Styela clava: one gene and its partner. The protein of the gene in region 2 purifies or fractionates together with the protein of the main gene of each other region. This does not show direct contact. Links are inferred from orthologs where the notes say so. Each region holds a gene or a part of one and is shown on either strand. Other genes may lie near its edges. The genes, in order: uncharacterized protein LOC120341675 and programmed cell death protein 10-like.

Evidence for each region.
Region 1: the proteins of programmed cell death protein 10-like (region 2) and uncharacterized protein LOC120341675 purify together in Homo sapiens (affinity purification with mass spectrometry; 3 studies listed by BioGRID and IntAct, counting the BioPlex papers as one, with this or other methods). This does not show direct contact. The link is inferred for Styela clava from reciprocal best matches to the Homo sapiens genes PDCD10 and SLMAP.

The regions. Positions count from the first base shown.
Region 1 is NC_135263.1:9,215,672-9,224,998, forward strand, and holds the start of uncharacterized protein LOC120341675, read right to left. Parts: upstream 3,801-9,327; 5' UTR 3,560-3,800; intron 3,228-3,559; 5' UTR 3,226-3,227; coding exon 3,043-3,225; intron 2,583-3,042; coding exon 2,435-2,582; intron 465-2,434; coding exon 398-464; intron 1-397. UniProt on the Homo sapiens protein: Associates with the striatin-interacting phosphatase and kinase (STRIPAK) core complex, forming the extended (SIKE1:SLMAP)STRIPAK complex.
Region 2 is NC_135256.1:15,288,630-15,297,857, forward strand, and holds the start of programmed cell death protein 10-like, read left to right. Parts: upstream 1-5,620; 5' UTR 5,621-5,709; coding exon 5,710-5,796; intron 5,797-8,054; coding exon 8,055-8,111; intron 8,112-8,299; coding exon 8,300-8,420; intron 8,421-8,952; coding exon 8,953-9,079; intron 9,080-9,228. Other genes in the region: WD repeat-containing protein 25-like, read left to right, coding at 3,969-5,144. UniProt on the Homo sapiens protein: Promotes cell proliferation. Modulates apoptotic pathways. Increases mitogen-activated protein kinase activity and STK26 activity. Important for cell migration, and for normal structure and assembly of the Golgi complex.

The DNA of each region.
Region 1 (9,327 bases), on a different chromosome or scaffold from region 2:
GAAGTTCCTACAAATGCTGAACCAAAAGCACCAACAAAGAGTAAATGTCAAATAGACAGCACCACAAAGAGCAGGACAGCCCAGGAAAGTGTGAATTACTCAGTCACAGGGTCATGTCTGACTCATTATTTTTACTGCTTTCTACCACATCAGTTCACTGGTGTGAACAATTCAGAATAGCCCACTATGCAGCCCACATTAAAAGCTATTCAATATAAATAAACAACTCTTCCTGTATGAAATTTGATCAATCCAATAGCATGGATAGTATTTTATCATCGAAGAATTTAATATATAGTTGAATGCTACACATCAACATCCATTTACATTCTAATAACAAGTAACTTTTGAATAAACTACTATTGCTTGTTGTGATAAATAAAAGTCATATAATTACCTTTGTTTGGCTTCATCACCATTTGGAAGATATAAACGTACTTGTGAAACAATACAGCCATGAGTTACTAAAAATTAAAAATATAGTATTATTATATAGTGAAATAGTAAATTTACTGAGAGAGATGGAAGTATCTGAAGCATTACAACTAAATATTACCTTCTATATATAGAATGCTGTTATGTAAACCGCATGAGTAGAAAAATATCACTATATGTACCACATATTACATGCTATACCGTAATTTAAACTTAGAGGGTAAGCAATGGTGTGTATGACTAAGGATGATCATATGGTTTCATAATCGAGAAATTTGATTGGAGATTAGTTTCGAAATTTGATTATGTCAGGAATCATTTCCGTCCCAGGAAAGAATGTTACTATTTTTGGGGAGAAACTTCTGTACCTGCGTGTAGTATAACAAATATTGACTCATTTAGCAGTATTGTAATACAAATTTATACATTTATTACAAATTGTACGTGAGCCCTCATGCAAGATGTGCATATCATCTGCTAGTAAGCATTGCAAGGGGGAAAGAAGAGTTTCATAACATGCAAAGGGGGAATGTATTAAAAAAGGTAGGAAACCATCAATCTAAATGTATGAATGTATTCTGCAAAAATAACCTATCTGCTGGATTTTCATCCATAAAATTTGACATGAAACACTAAAAGCGTTCATGCATATGGAAAGTAGGGATACTTTTGATTGATTTAGTAAATTAGTTGACAACTGACATAAAAATAAACCAAAATCAATGTAGTTTATTTTATGCAAGGACATATTTTGTATTCATAGAATCCCCATCGGAGCCATTTGTGTATACCCTATTACTACGACAGGATAAGTAGGATTGGACTATTGAGTGTCTTGTTCAAGTGAATGAATTCAAACTCCTACTTGGGTATTGTTTGAGGCATGAACTAGAACAATTACGAGAGGTATAACCACAAAATCAAAAGTTGTTTAAATCAATTTGATTGTTCGTGGACACACATGACTGCATTGCTACGATAATTTAATTATTCAATATTAAAGTTTCAATATATCTAAAATTTGAAATTTAAGATAATTCAACTTTACAAGTGAGAATATGATTTGGAATTCAGAGGTGATTATGCTCATGGGCTTAAACAAAAAAATCTTCCAACTTAATATGAGTTATCATAACATAATTGTTATGTTATATTGAAAGGAATATCTACCAAGAAGCGAACAGTAAGCAAGGATCAAAACCGAATAATATACAATTCTAAATACATTCTGAAATAATGTTTGGATATGATTAATAAATATATTCTAATTGGGCCATGTTAAAATAAAACATAAAGAAGTCAAGTTGCATTGCATTCAATGAGTTTGAATTTGCAAATGCAGGAAGGTTAAGATGAATAGCCTAGTGATTTGATTGGTCAACTATTTATTGTATACCTCCTAATAAGGCCGTTTCATATATGATGTGGATTGTGGAGGTTAAAATGATAAATTTTGAAATGAATCTCCACTAAATTATTCCTAAAATCACGAATTTAAAACATCAAATATAATTAATTTAGAATTGATCAGTTTTGAACTTCCATTCGGTCAATATGCATCATTCTCTTTTGATACTTAATTGGCTTATTTTTGGGTGGTGGCTGGTTCTCCAGTTCGTACAACTTGCATTTTTAACAAAATTAAAGCCAAGTTCATGATATATTTACAGGAGTGGTATACAACAAATACAAAATTTAGATGCAGAAGAATATTATATGGAACACTCAAAAGATATTATATAATACTGTCAAAATTTCTACCAATACAATCAATGTAATTTCAATATTTAAAGATTGCTCCTAGCAAATCTGAATGAGGAACTTGCAACAAAAACAAATTCTTGCTTTATATAACTGGACTAGACTACCAGAACTAATCTTTAATAAACCACAAACTGATTTAAATATAACAATTAACAATGTCAGCCAATGCTATATAACTTATCACATCTCACTCAAATCACCACTATCTAGAATTATAAGAAAAACACCAGGTCACCTCTTCTTGAGTTCTCCACCACATCAACGCCGAACTGCACAATGTCACCAGAATTTACTTCGAATGGCATACTTTCTTCAGCACCTTTACTTAATCTTTGGTTATTTACAAAAGTCCCATTACTGCTTTTAGTATCTTTCAAATAAAACTGAAGAAAAAGAAACATAAGATTAGATTGATATAGCATACTATATTTTCATCACATTGAAGGCTATTTTTCTCGATCAAAGCAAATCTACACTATTGAGATGAAACATCTTGTACATTACCAAAGTAATCGTATAACGGTGTTAGAATATATATCATAGGCTACCTATTTTGTGTCATGTCTTTTGCTCAGAACAAGACCCTGTTACTACAAGCAAGCTGGTATCTAACGATATTTAGAGCTCCTATTTTCTAGAGGAATTGGGAAGTCTGTTACGGCATTGACAACTCAATTATTGAGATGGTAGGCATGAGATGTTTACCCTGCGATGTCTACAAAGTCAACTGTTGAGCCATTGTGCCCACACAAGTTGTTTTCATTTCCGATTTATAAGAACAAAACCTAATTTCATTTCACATTAATAAAGTTTCAATTTCATGAAATTCCAACTAAAGTTTACCTTGCCATCTTCATACCATAACAAGGCATGATTTCTTGACAAAACTTTACAGTCAAATATTGCATTGTTTGCTGCTGGTCGCGCTCTGGCGACTGAACGGCCAATTTTAGCTGGCTCCGTCAACGAAACTCTCCTCTCTTGGAATGGATGAGAATTTGTACGACAAGTGAATGTTGCAGTCATTTCTGAAATTATGATTTCACCCATATTTAAAATTTATATGAAGCAGCACTATGTTTTATCATTGAGATATGTTTACAACTCTCGTTTGTATAAATTAAAAGCTTGACCTTGATTTTCCAGTTTTCTGCAGTTTTGATAATTTGCCCAAATAAAAAAGCCAATATCTGAATATATATATATTCATAAGAGAACAGTAGCAGCTTGCAAGAACAATACATGGTTATTGACTAGCAAACTAAATGCTAAAAAAATAGCAAGTTCACTGATTGTAAGAACCAAAATCTTGATACAATACCAAGAAGCATATATTTGTCTCAAAATAATCTGTTCTCACCTGTTTGTACTTAGGGTGATATATCCTCAAATTGGAAATTGCTCAAAGGTACTTTTGCACTTCACCAATGTTGAAGAACACAATGTGTAGTTGTCATTGTAGTTGCAAGTTTTTAGAACTTCAAACCAATTTACATGATGCTGTATCTAGACTATTATCTGATCATAGTCATTGTCCGATGATGTTAATAATAATGTTGATATTGCTGTATGATGTAACAGTATAATGACCTCATGAACTAGTATATATAACTGTAATATATAAAAAAATGCTTTCATATCAGTATTCAGGTATTACTGTATTAAATTGGATGTGGAACACATTAATTAAGGGTGTTCAACGAATTGTAAATAAAACATAAATTAATGATAAGCAATTACAGAAAACTGAAATTTTTTATAGTTTGTGTCCACGTAATTCAATTTATTTTAACAGGATATAAATTAAATTATTATTTGATTCAAACCCTACACGATGCAGTGATCAAGGTTGATAGTTTGAAAGCAATTACAGAATTAAATATCAAAACTGAAGATTACTGATTATTCTGTTATTGTAACTAAGCGAGCAGTCGAGCTATAGGCCTATTACATTTTTTAATTAGCTGTGGTACATCCTTTATATAAACATGCATTTTGTGATATTGCTGTAGAGTTGATTTAATGCAGCAATGGCCAAAATGTAGATAGTATGATGTGATCAAATTTGAGTGTTTTTCAATGAAGTCGTAATTTTTTCTGTATCCCCAATTGACAATTCTATCTCCTAATTCAGCAATCAGCTTTTATTTATTTGTTTTTATCAATTATTTTTCGGCTGTTATGCTGATTATGATGTCAAAATAAACTTATGCTTAACTTATAACAGTATAACATATAAGAGGTGAAATTTATTCGGGAAAATATAATTGAAATAGAAAAGTCAGAAAGTTGAGCTCTGGCAGTCTGGTCAATTAAGTTGCTGAAAGAAGATCAGTCTGTCAGTATCAGTGTATGAGACAAGTTCAGGCAAACATCAGTCACAAAAATTTCTAAGTTAGGAATACAACATGCGGACATAAACCAACATGAGTCCGATAGTAATATCAGAATATTGGGCTTGGGCCTAATAAAATTATGATTAAAATACCCTTAAAAATATTCTTTCACTTGTCTAAGCTTAATTAAGATTTTGTCTAAACAGACACAACAAATTTGGGTATAGATAATTATCAAAGCTAAAGCTGGGAAACCAGCACCATTGCCTATATAGTCTACTCACAACCTCCTAAAAGTGCACAACCCAAACTTCTGATTCACTGTCCCAGGATTTGCTCTTGAATTCGAAATAATAAAGACAAACAAAAGGCATTGGGAAGGGTTTACGTGAAAAATGGATTTGATGCAGCTCTCGGGCGCCGCATATTGGATAAAAGAATAATGAACTTAAATCGTTTCAATCAAGAAAAACATTATCAAATCAAATAAAACAAGAGAGCTACGCCCAAATATATGCACACGTCTGTTCGCAGTACAGTACGGTTTACCGTACCGTCAGATCACAGTCTACAAATATATTCACACCAAGCGAAGCAGTACAGTAGGACACAAAATGGCGTCCGATGGCCGCAGAAAGTTTAATGACGTCATAGCAAACAAAAACAAATCTCACAGAGCTAGCAGACATATTTAAAATGAATAAAAGTAATATCTTCAACCACTGAAAATTTCAAAGCAATAGGTCCAGTATTCGAAGAGAAAAGCGTTTTTTTTTAATATTTCCACTAGGTGTGTTATTCTGTGTCAAACAACAAGAACAACATAATATTGAAACGATCGTTATGTCCACTACATGTCCAACAACAACATAATATTGAAACGATCGCTATGTCCACTACGTGTCCAAAAATGAAATCTAGTTAAGTCAATAATCTTGTCAAAACCAACATCATACATAAACCCTTTTCTCCATCGCGGGAAATTCCATTCAAATCATCATGAGTGGACATTTGGTCCCAAACATTTGGAAATCTTTCTTTTGTTTAGACTAAATGTAAAAATTACATTTGCCCTTGCACCAATGATATCCTGATGCAGGGTTTTCCAAACTGGGTGTCCGTGATGACTGCTCGAGGGTTCTGCAACGACCGGAAAAGAGCTGGGTCAATCTTCAACGATTGATTTCAATCAAAACTCCATTGCTTATTTTTGGTTGACTGCGGCGGACGAATATTCATTGCTGTCAGAAAAGTCAATTAAAATTTATTGCATTTTAAAACAGCCTACATGTCTGCGCAGCATTTTCAGATCTTACCAATATGATGACAAAATATATGCCGAGATATGCCGTAGAGTTGGATCTAAGAATTTGCTTGTCACAAACTGCCCCGAGAATTGAGAAATTGTGCATTGAAAATCAACCGCGTTCATCACATCAATGACATTAAACAACATGATGCGCAACTCCGGCATTTTTGTCCGAAGATCGTATTCGATAGCACGCTCCAATGCACATACTTGACGAGACGAAAACGAGCGGATGTGTGCTGCTTTCAAGGCGTAGCACGAATGGTGTTCGTGCCTGCTTTGACAGTTGTTGTCGATTTTAATGATATTTTTGAAAGTTGGGATAAAAAGAAATCGGTAAAAGGTAAGGTGAATACTATTGTTGTATATCACAACCGGGCATCGCACTGTTAAGTACATGTGGGAAAGCCAGCCTTTGTCAAATACTACGAAGTTATTAATTCAGTACGGTACGTAGTTGCCCATTTGCCGAAATTACATATTTACTTACTCCTTATGGTTTCAAATAGTTCATGCACCTCCAGTTAGATTTTTTTAATCAGTGAGGATATATACTCATTGTTGATTGCTGCTCATTGTAACATACTATTACGCATTCACTTTTATTTGCGTATTTAATCAAAGTGTTAACAAGTTCACCTAACATTTCACTCATACCGGTCTATATTGTATAGTCTGATTTCTCAAGTATTTGGAGCCACGAATGCTTGTAATTTTCTGACTAAACCCTTTTATTAGTTGGTTTATTTTCCAAAATTCAGTAAAATATTTTTTAAATAAAACATGAGATATTGGATTTATTAGCTTTTCCATTCTGAATCATATAGACTGCTTTATTTATTCTTAACGAAAATTAATAAATCTCCTCTCTTTCTTCAGATGTGAAAGTTGTGGACAAACCTGTCTAAGCATTGTGAGACTCTTGCAGCACAAGAGGCAATAGCAGAAATAGTAAGTATATCAATCAAGAAATTAAGCCGACATAAAGCAAAACTTTCAACTATTCGTCTAATCTCAATTTCCTATTATTTATTCACAGGACAACTATAGCAGACGTGGAGATATCAGAAGTCTGGTGACATATCAGTGACAGTGTGATTCCAAGAAATATAATGCAATTGAAAATAGAAAATTGCAATAGAAAAACAACCTATGGAGGCATGCAAAGACATTTGACCCTCCGGTAGAGTTGTGTATGGCCCCCACATCCTGCAGGGCTTGAGGAAAATAACTAAAAATTCCAAAGCGTAAGATTGCATAAGCGGTCTTATTTGTAAAAAGGCACAAAACACGCCAGACATACTTAAAACAGCTTTGGAAATGAGGATTACGGGTACCTCACTGCACTTGTGTTATATTTGGTTCATCAACTTTTGGTAGTACTATAGAAAAAATTCCGAAAGGGGTATAATCATCATTCATGATAAAATACTATAATATATTTTTTGAACAACTTCAATCTAGACCAGGGATCTCAAACTCGCGGCCCCAGAGAACTTCCAGTGCGGCCCTCGAACGCTTAACAATAATTGTAATAGTATTTTGGAATTTTTTTTTTTATTTAAATGTAATAGATTTTTCAAACCTTCTAAAGTGAAATTGATTATTCACACAGAAAACAATTTACTGAAAGTAGTTTTGGAATATTAATTTTTTTTGTCCACATTTTGACCCAATTAAGAATACACATCAAGCTAGCAAAAGAATACTTGAATAAAACACTTGAGTAATTAAATTAAACGCAAAGTACACGAAGAAGGTGGCATTTTCGAAGAAAATGGGAGTTGTAACATTTCTGCTCTTCACAAAATTCTGAAGCACATTGTTTAATTTGTCATATTTCCATCAATACAATCAAAAAACACAATAAGCTCAGCAGTCAATATGACAAATTCGAAGACCAACTTCGAACAGAAAATTTCCATGTGTTTGTATATTAATATAATTATACAACGACTTAGTTACTAAAAATCAATATCAATAATAATTCAAGCAATCCTATGCCACGCAATGTAGTGCGAAATGTCTTGTCGAAAAAATCTGTCATTTGTTTTTTTACTGATCTATACATGAAATGATAAAAGTAACTTTTTTGCATTACTGGAATTATTTAAACATTCGTAAAGATCCAGATAAACCCATGATCATGTGGCCTCGTTAGTTAGAGTACTATAAAATCATTTCAGACTGGCCTTAGTATGCTGGTGACACAAAAAAGATGCCAAACGCCAGGACGAATGTAATTATTAAAACATTGAGTTTATACTGTAGTATTTTTGTTAATTTTAGGTTCATATATTTAGATTAAGTTATTTTTAGTGTATGTATTATTCTTTCCTTATTCAAAGCTTGTTCAAAAATGATTTTGATGGTTGTACATAGAATTTTACGATTTTTTATAATAAATACTGTAACTTGCAAATGTTGCAATAATAGTGGAATGCAAATATTAATATGTAATTGCATTTGAAATTGAAGAAAATAATAAAACTTAATCCAACTGTTTAGTTGCATCACAATATATGTCACAAACTAAAACTATCTTAAAAATATCTTTTAAGTATACATTATCAAAAACTGTTTGCGGCTCTTTTTACAATTTTCAAAATGTAATGCGGCTCTCGAAAACCCATGAGTTTGACACCACTGATCTATTCTAGACGATTCAAGCATTGCTTTGGGAAATTATATCACTTCAATTAAATTGAAATAATCTCGCTATATTAAATACAAAATCGTTGCTATCATAGAGGTAAACCAATTCAGCCACTCGAAATATATTGGCCTTCACAAAGCAATGGAGGCAAAATTGAGAGTTCATGAGCTATGAACATTTGTTCTTTTCTTTGTCTTGAACTTCCCATACTCCACAGCCCCTATTAATTTTTTTTAATTTTAATTACCATGTGATGGTCATACATATCTTTAACTTGTATTTTCTGTCATGATGTATTATCTCAATGTGCCAAACTATTAATTTGTGTGCATATTTTGCTTCCAGATGACATAAATGTATTGTCATGTTTATTACCTCAGCTTGGAGTATTGACAAGAAAAAGGTGCCAGTAAATTAGGTAAAAAAATTTTCAACTCATTGTTATAATCAGAATTCACAATCAATAGGAATTATAAACAGCCAACAATCAGTGAGAATTATATGCGAAATCCCTCAGAATAAATTTGTCTAAAATCGGAGGAAGGCAAAAAATATAGGTAGTTTCCATTCACACAAGCATTTCAAGAAGACTTGCTCGAGCCAAACTAAATGAGCATCGTCAGGTGATCGGTAAGGCTGCAAGTTGAATTCAGCCCTGCAACCTCCTGCATAGAAGATAATATTAATTAGTGGGCTATGAGCTAAATTCCTAAATTTAAACAAACCTATCTACGATGCATTATGTACCAGCAATGTTACCTACGATTAACTGAATATGTAATATGTCTAATAAATTCACCTACAAAAGCAAGTTCGATAGGTGCAAA
Region 2 (9,228 bases):
AATCAAACAGCGAATAATGGCGCCCCTTAATCAAATAGCGAATAATGTCAGACCGACTGCCAGTGTCCCAATGTGATTATATTCCAAAACAAACTTGCTGTTGAGTATTCAATTTATTCATCACAAACCGCATTTATTCCGAATGTAGGAGAATGCTACATTTGCGATATTATTAGTTTCGTTCATTGTTGTGAAAGTGAGCGCACTGTTGTGCATGTTCTTAATTAATCTAGTTGTCTGCTTTCATGAATTCTATATTAGTAACCTGCATTTTCTGTTGCTTTTTATTTTATTTTTTATTGTGTTGGTCCGGTGAATAGTTCGTAATTCTCTTACCTTGTTTTTTTATCTTAATATTTTAAGCGAATGGACAACTGTTTCACATATTATTGTGGATTTCTTACATATTATTAATATAAATTAATTGGGATTGATTTGGGTGTGAAAAATTACACCATGATGACAAATTTTAGCTGAATATATTATCTACGGCTAATAAAATGTCGACAATATGGCTATCGACCACTGGTTCTCCACTCTCCACTCACTGTGTCCCACTTTCGTTGCACAAAAATTCTGTAGCCTATTAATTTGTATGCGTGTCCGTGTGTGTGAGTTAATTATGTATGTGTACGTAGTTTACGTACCACTTTGGCGATTGGCGGAACCTTTTCAACTTATCATGTACACTATGTCCTTACTTAAGGTTTTGTTCGGTCTCTTGATTCTATATTCAGTTTTTATTTGTTCGTTTTAATCAATTATTTCATCATCTGTTATGCTGATTATGGAGTCAAAATAAACTTATACTTGCAAATTTATACTAATTATACGGTAGCGGCTATGGATCCACGGTAGTTGTCCTGAATGCTGACCACTGGTGGGCAACCTTATTTGTTTTACCTGCCAAAACCAACTAAATTCAACGACAAAATTCTCCCACGTGCCAACTGAAATTTGTGAGCAAATATTACTGACATTTAAAGGTATATATATATATATATATATATATTTATATATATGAAAACGCAATAAACCAAAATTGAATTTATTCGCTTTAAAACCAATGCTTTTCTACCTTCAAAGCAAAAAATGCACAATGATAAACCTTTAAAACATGTAGCCTATTGAGAAAATATTAGTCCGACAAAACGATTTTATTACTTTTCAGTGAGATTTCTGCTGCTACATTACCGCTGACAGAAATTTTACATCGTGTTTATATTTTGCAACCTTCATAGAAATATACGAACTAGACCTACTAGCTTCGCCCGTCAGGCTACTCCTAGAGAACAGAGATTCACAAGAATATGTAGAATTAGAATTTGAAATCAATTTATACCAATATGTTAACAAACAAATCTAACTAGCATGCGCTTTACAACTTCATAAATCAGCCAGAAATGGAGAAAAAGGCGGGACAGGCGTACTATATAATAATAATGAGTATGACTTTATTCTTATTTCCCCGATACACAACATACATAAAAACATACACAAAACAATAAACACACAGAAAATTGGGAAATCGGGTTAACAGGCAAAATCTCTAAAAAGATTTAAAATAAAGTGGAAATACACGTGCCAGTTTACCCATATTACACGAACAAATATATATAAAAAAATTGTAAAAACACGAACGGAATAGTATGAAATATGAATACAACGTTTGTCTCGAGAAAATTTGTTGAAGGTTGAGATCTCAACAACGTAGTTGTTACGTCATAACATATTTCTGTAACCATATCGTATGTCCCGAAAGGATAAGTAAAATTAAATTGAATAAATAACGGAATGTTAACAAACGAAAATGAAAATAAGAACACATAAGAGTTACGTCAGATAATACCGACTATTGAAACATTTTTTTTTTATCTAAGGGGGAAAGTGGTTGCGCAGTGATGCTAACCCCTGCCCTATACGAAATGTTACGTACACACTGAATGGACTTTTCCCCGACCTTTGACCCTCGGAAAAATTTTCCTATACTTTACCATTGCAAAATTTTTGGGGCCATTTTAAGAGTGCTTTTGCGAGTTGGCGCTTGTAAAATGGGGTATGTGTTACAAGCCATCATTATGATTTATCGAATACAACAATCTGTTTTTTGAAAGTACCAGTAAATAATTTCAGGCTAGTCTATCACAGCTATTTCTACACTAATTTTTATTACTGCAATCAAATTAAAACTCCTAGGAAAGACAGAGTGATCATTGAATTATCTGATTTATATGTAATTTTCCGAAACACAACTGAAAACTAACTAATAAAGTTCAAAAACGCGAAAACGAGGTAATGTTTACAACCATACTTGAAAATCCGTCTGAGTGAGAAAAGTGTCTGAGCGGATGCGAAAAGGGGGACATTTTTACGTCATTTTTTGCATCTTGCTGATTGGCCAATGTCGCGAAGTAAACAAGGAAAACGATGCTCGGGGAAAGGTCCATAGCCCCGACCAACGACTGCCCCCGACAGAGGGCGTTCTCGAAGTGCTGTTTCATTTTTGCCTCGTCTCGCTCAAAGTCTTGCTGAAGCTTCTTTTGCTCTTTATTGTTGTTCTGAGGAAAATGCTGCCGATTTTCAGTGGTCTGGTGGTAGGGCTTGCTGATGTTTATGCTTCAGATTTAAGCATACCGGTAACTCCTCCCATACCGTATACTACCAGTACTGCAGTACCTACTCTCCAATTCTGCGATCGCACGAGAGGTTGTGATTCTGTTATTCAACAATGTCAATAGACATATCCGCATACACAATACGGTACAGGCATTAATGATAGAGTGACAAGTAAGCCAGTTGCACAGTCGACAGATTTAGATTTGTTCAGTGGTGAACTCAAGCCCAGAACCTCACTGAAAAATAGAAATATTTTGACCATTTAAAATGTTGTAGCTCCTTAATAGATACCGGTACCGGTACCATACGGTACCGGTACTTCAGTATTTGTATAAAGCCTTGGATGTAGTCTATTTGTGGGTTCTAGGAAAATTCTCCGCAGGAAATTTCCCTGTAGGAAAATCTCGCCGCAGGAAATTTTGCAGCATAGGAAAATTCGCCGCAAGAGCGTTTTGCTGTAAAGCAAGTATTTGTGATAAAAACAGTTAAGTTAGGTCTGTCTGTAGGTTTTTGCAGTATTATTTTATTTAAAAATGATTCGTTATTTAAGAGCATACCCTACTGCCCTAACCCTATAAACCTAGCTGTTTTTATCACAAATACTTGTTTTACAGTAAAATGCTCGTGCTGCGATTTTTCAAGGGTCGAATTTTTCTATGCGGCAAAATTTCCTGTGGCAAATTTTCCAGACACGATATTTGTGATAGAAAAACTTTCATGAAATATCATATTGATACATCATATTCAACTATGAGTTTGCTCTATTATACATTACCATATTATGTTTTTCTCTTCTACTCTGAAATGTAATGGGTCACGGATGAAAAGTTTTATATCCCTTGTCGGCCATTTCCTCAAAGATGTAATAAATTGGGCATGCTGTATGCTGAAGCCAACAATTCTCACAATCTCACAAACATTGGAACATGCCACAAACCAGTGCAGCAGTGGCTGTTTATTTGTTGTGAAGTTATGAATACATTCTGCAGAGCTCACTCATTTCAACCAATTTAAATTATTTTTATAATTTTTCGTTATACAGTATTACGATAATTTTGCAATGTATTGAGCAGATGGACGTGCCAATAATTTCAGCAAAGTTGACATATCGCGACGGACAAACAATTGATTTTCTTCATCCCAAGAATGGACGGGATTTAGAATTGAGCACTGATTTAAAACTATTACAAGACGATGTTAATAATGTATTAACTGACCTGGTGTTGCTTGAAAAAAAAGAAAATAATAAACCAGCTGTTCAGGAAAACTCTTCTTGCGACGAAGAAAGTGATTCTAATGATAATAACAATACAGAGCCGAAAGAGAAAAAATTGAAAAATCAATAAGTTTTGATGGATGACACCATTATAAAACCATATATTTCGAAACGAAAAAGAAAAAGTGCTCAAAAACGTGAAACGGATGTTGTAAAAGGGGTTAGGGAACAGCCGAATTCTGAAGATATTAAAAAGATATTTTTAACCGATGATGTTGTATATCAAAATACCTTGAGGAATCCTCATGGAAACAGATGTTCTAAGTTTCTCAGTCAATGTAAAGTTATTACTGATGGCCCACTATGGAAAATCAAGTGGTGTAAAAAATTCAGTCATCTGCTTTCAACAACCTCACATAATTCTATCAGATTGTATGATGTTATGAAAGGTAGTGAGATGCGTTATGTGTTCGATTCATCGTTAAGTGGTGATGCTCGTTCCTACAAAGATCTTGATTGGTCCAGGTCATCACGACAGATTGTGGCTTGCTCATTTGATAAAACGATAGAAACTTGGGATTTTTTGTGCTCAGGAAACCAATCTCTTTGTATATCATTACCAGAGATTCCTTCTGTAGTAAGATGGTCAAATGAAGATGATAACCTGTTACTCGTTGGTGGTGCAAATTCTTTTCTTGCGTCTTATGATATTCGCAGTGGTAGAAAGGCTATATCGTATAAATCTCAGTTTGGTAATCTTTTAAGTATTGATTCATTTTCCGACACTGGAACATTTGTTGCCACGGGTGACGTCGTGAGCAGGCAATCAGCTCAATATTCAATCATTGTTTGGGACTTTGCCACTGGAGCTAAATTATCTGACCAAATATTTCACGAGCGTTATTCTTGTCCGGCTGTGAGTGTCCATCCCAGTGAGACATCGTTTCTAGCTCAGACGAATGGGAATTATATAGCACGGTTTAATGCAACAAGTCCATATCGACTGGATAAATATTTACGGTACGATCAACATACAGTAGAAGGTTACCCTGTTGGTTTTGATATATCTCCTGATGGTACTATAGTGGTGTCAGGCAGTTCAGATGGATCTGTTGTGTTTTATAAATATACATCTGGTGCTGTATTGAAAAGAATAATGCTCCAAGATAATATTAGTTTTCGAAATATCAGTACCAGTTCTTCTGGGACTAGTGTGCAAAAATCACCTATTGTTTCGGTACAGTTTCACCCTGTTTTACAAAGCATGGTAGCCGTAAGTGATTGGACCGGAAAATTGCACTTGTTGAAATAGCAATCGAAAACAGTTTTTATGACATTGTGTCAAATTTGCAGAGATGACTAAAACTTAGTATACTTTGTTGCAATCTGAATGCTAGATGGAATTTTAAATTTGCATGAAAGAAGTTTTTTTTTTCAAATATGATGGGCCTATACAGGAATATTTAAAAATTGAAGGAAATCGTTGTTTTATTCTGTCCCAGTTATGCTTCATTTCCAAATTGAGCATTTCTTTGTGATGTCTGTTTGTCTTCATGTAATTATCCAATTAATTATGTCCTATACTGTCAAGTAGATATGACTAGAAAATTTTTTTTTTTTCTGAGTATCCTGATTTGCACACTAGTGTCTTTGTCATAATACCGTAGTTGTTCATTGTTATACCCAGTAAAATGATACTCAATTGAACTCAATTTTGAGAGTGGTGTTCTTATGAACTCTTTCTTTATATTGTTTGCCCATCATAATTCAATACTATTGTCATTCTTTTTAGAAATACTATTAGGTGAAATAGATTTTAATCTTAAGAAGTGCTTGATGGAATCAATCACTTCATAAATCTGTTAATTGTACGAGTGATGGCTGGATCATCAAACGATCATCAAAACTCAATGAAGCCTGTATCGGTGTCACTGCATGTTGCCTTACTTCCTGTACTAGATGAAGTAAGTACCTTCTTCATACTAGTTTTGTATTCCATGTTGTTTTCATTTTCAAATTGGACTAGAAAATGGAAATGTGGCATAGGGCAGGGCTACTCAGCTGGTGTATCACTGTCCGTATTCGGACCTTTCGAATATTTGATTCGGGCGCACCTAATTCTTTATTTTGGATCATTAGCCCCACCCCTCATGACTTTTATTGTTTTGAATAGCCCTATATATGAAAAGAACTATAACACCATAATAAACAATCTTGATCAGCTAATAATCATTAGCCCGTTGAGGAAGTGCTTAATAATGATGCCAAAATATAATTTCTGGAAACACTGGACCCGAATAATTTTGAAGTTTTGTATGCAGATTTTCGGTAAAAATTGGTGGGTTGCTCTGGCATAGGGTATTTGAATTTTGAGTAGCAGACTATAATAAATTTCTATGAAGCTGGTATTTGGATTACTATGTAAAGAAACATTAATATTGATACAATTGTTAGGATAATCTGTATTTCTCCTTGGTTATATATCATCTGTGTGCTTCATTACCTCAAGTGTTTTTCCATTATAGTGATCTGAAAGGTAGTTATGTCAACCCCAAGACGAAAAATATTTGTTCACCTTTGTGGTTTTTCAATTCAAAAAGAAGTCGATAACATTTTGATAGTCAGATTCTTTTGATCTTTAGTGAAATCATTAGTGAAGAAATGAATAGTTTTTACCAAATATTTCGGAATATTTAGATAAATAAAATTTGGATACTTTACTGATGCCAAAAACAAGATGGATGGGGCCAATTCAATGTACTTTCTATATTCCTGAATATAACAGTAATTTTTCTGTAATGTCATCACAAAGCTTTGGTAATAACTCCCGAGATTCAGAAAGTTTTTCAAAGGCTGGGGTTTTTGTGATTCATAGTATAATACAGTACTATATGTGATATAATTACTGTAACATATTTTCCTAATTTCTATATTAATTACATCAAGGTTTCTTTTTTAGAGGGTTCTATTTTTGTCTGTTAGCATTATTCTTCAGTATTTAAAATATTGCAACACTGCTATTTTGTACATTTCCAGTTCATCAGTTTATCTATTGTTAGTGAAACACAGTCACTTTCAATTTGATATTGATTGGTATACTATCCAAATATAAATAGTGGGTGGGCATGCATAGATCGAATGAGTGATGTGATTTTGTTCAAACAAGAATTTAACACAGTCATCATATCTGTATAATCTTATAAAAACACAGCCCTAACATGGCCATGCGAACAATTCTAATAAAAATTTACATCCCTCACTTGATCAGACATGATCATGAAATAATTTTTTTTATTGTATGTACTGTTACTTCCTCTTCCTATTTGTGAAACAGACACGACCCGCTGAACAAAATTGATATACACTCAAGCATGGGATAAAGAATTTTAATAACTATAATTAAATATTATTATATAAAGGTATTTAATTAATAATTTTAGGGAACGATGTCATTGGTTGAAAGTGTTACAAGTGGTATGGAACTAGGGTATTTTACCATGTGGACTACGCCCTTTTTATCGTCACTGCTAGACGGTCAATTGTGCTATTTATAGTATTGGCGAACAGCTACCATAATACTAAGCGTATATGGTTACGTAATATAATATCTTACATATGTACGTGAATCACATCAATGTCTCACTTTTGTTTGATCGATGATTTATATTGTCACTACTTCGTAATTCCCTTTATTACCTGAAGAGTCATTGTATGTTTTTTATAATCAATTTGTCACAATGTTTTATTTTCCGAAAATTAGTAGTGATCGGTTATATATTGTATTCTTCTATCAAAAAGCCTGGTTTAAGAATTATAGATACTCTGTGTTGATGTCAATATGTCCTGTATATGCTTGGTATACATGAATTGTATTAAATTATAACATGCATACAAAGTATTATTAATATTTTATCATGTACAAGTTTTTGTTATTCCCTAATAATTTAATGGGATTTACCCCAAGTTTTTAAAATCTCTAAAATATTTGAGGTTTCCCAGCCTAATTCCACATAAGACTTAAGATAAGGTTAGATGAAGCATAACGGAACAAATATATTTTTGTTTGTTTTGCAGCAAAAACCTTCAGCCATTTGAATGTTTTTAAATATTATGAGAATATATCCTAGCCTTATATTCATGATTTACAATACTTTTTCAATTTTTTTGAAAAGTTTTTCAAACCAATTTTGAACCCAAGATTAATAGTCACTTTTATTTTCAGCTTTCTAAAGAATGTGACAAAAAGACAATTTTGATGCTAAAAGATGCTTTCACAAAGGTAAATGTGAACTACTTTTTTCTATTTAGGAGTACTGACTTAATAGAATTCCAATTTCAAACAGTGGTCATAAGAGATATGGACTTGGCTTTGCGGCTGAATAATATCACTTTAACCTTACAATCTTCCCTATAATGACAAGCAGCAATGTAATTTCTGCATCTGATAAATCTTCTCTAATATTTTAGACTGAAAAGCAAGTTCCAGGATTTACACAGGAATTCTTGAATGGATTATTACAAAAAGAAGTTCCGGGAGAAATTAATTTCACAGAAAGTTTACTGCGAATGTCGGGACGTGATAGCCCAGGTAAACTATGCTTGCAAGAGTGGAGCACAGTTTGTCGTGCCTATTCTACTAGGCCTGTTACTATTTGTGTTATTTTTTCAACAAAGATAGAGAAATTCAATAAAAATTACAAGCTCATTTTTCAAATTACACATGAATCAAGATTTCATATCAAAATAATCCCAAATTTCTAATTTAGTAAAATTTGAAAAAATAACACGCTGTGTACCTGGATTTCTATTTTTGTGTGAAGTAAGTGCCATACACCAACACCAGTGCTTTTCAACCTTTTTCTTACTCCGGGCCCAACTGACACTTGATATTTTGTTGTTTATAAATTATAATTACATTATAAATTTGAAGGCTCATTCCCGTTTATGTTTTCTATTTACAATCTTAGGGTGCTGTCCTTCCGTACATAACTTGGTGGTTGGGTCTGCAGGTACAGGCTATATCTTCCTGAGAACAGTTTTCATAATACCATTATCTTTAACCCCTGTTATAAAGATATTTTTATAGTCATTATTGCTATTGTTATGCTTTTATGTAACAGAGTTTGCATTACAACACAAGGAACCAGAATTCATCAAGTTATCTGATCGAGCCAGGTTATTAAAACAAATATTATCGAGGATACCTGATGAAATGCATGACAGACCCAGATTTCTTCAAACGATAAAGTAAGATTTTCTAATTTAATATTTTTGCGAGATGACATAGATTTTTTGTAGAGCCATTTAAATGTACAACAGGATTTAACAATTTAACTGGTCAATTTTGTCAGGATAATGCCCAAAATCATTTGGTTAGGCTTCAAATTTCTGGCTTT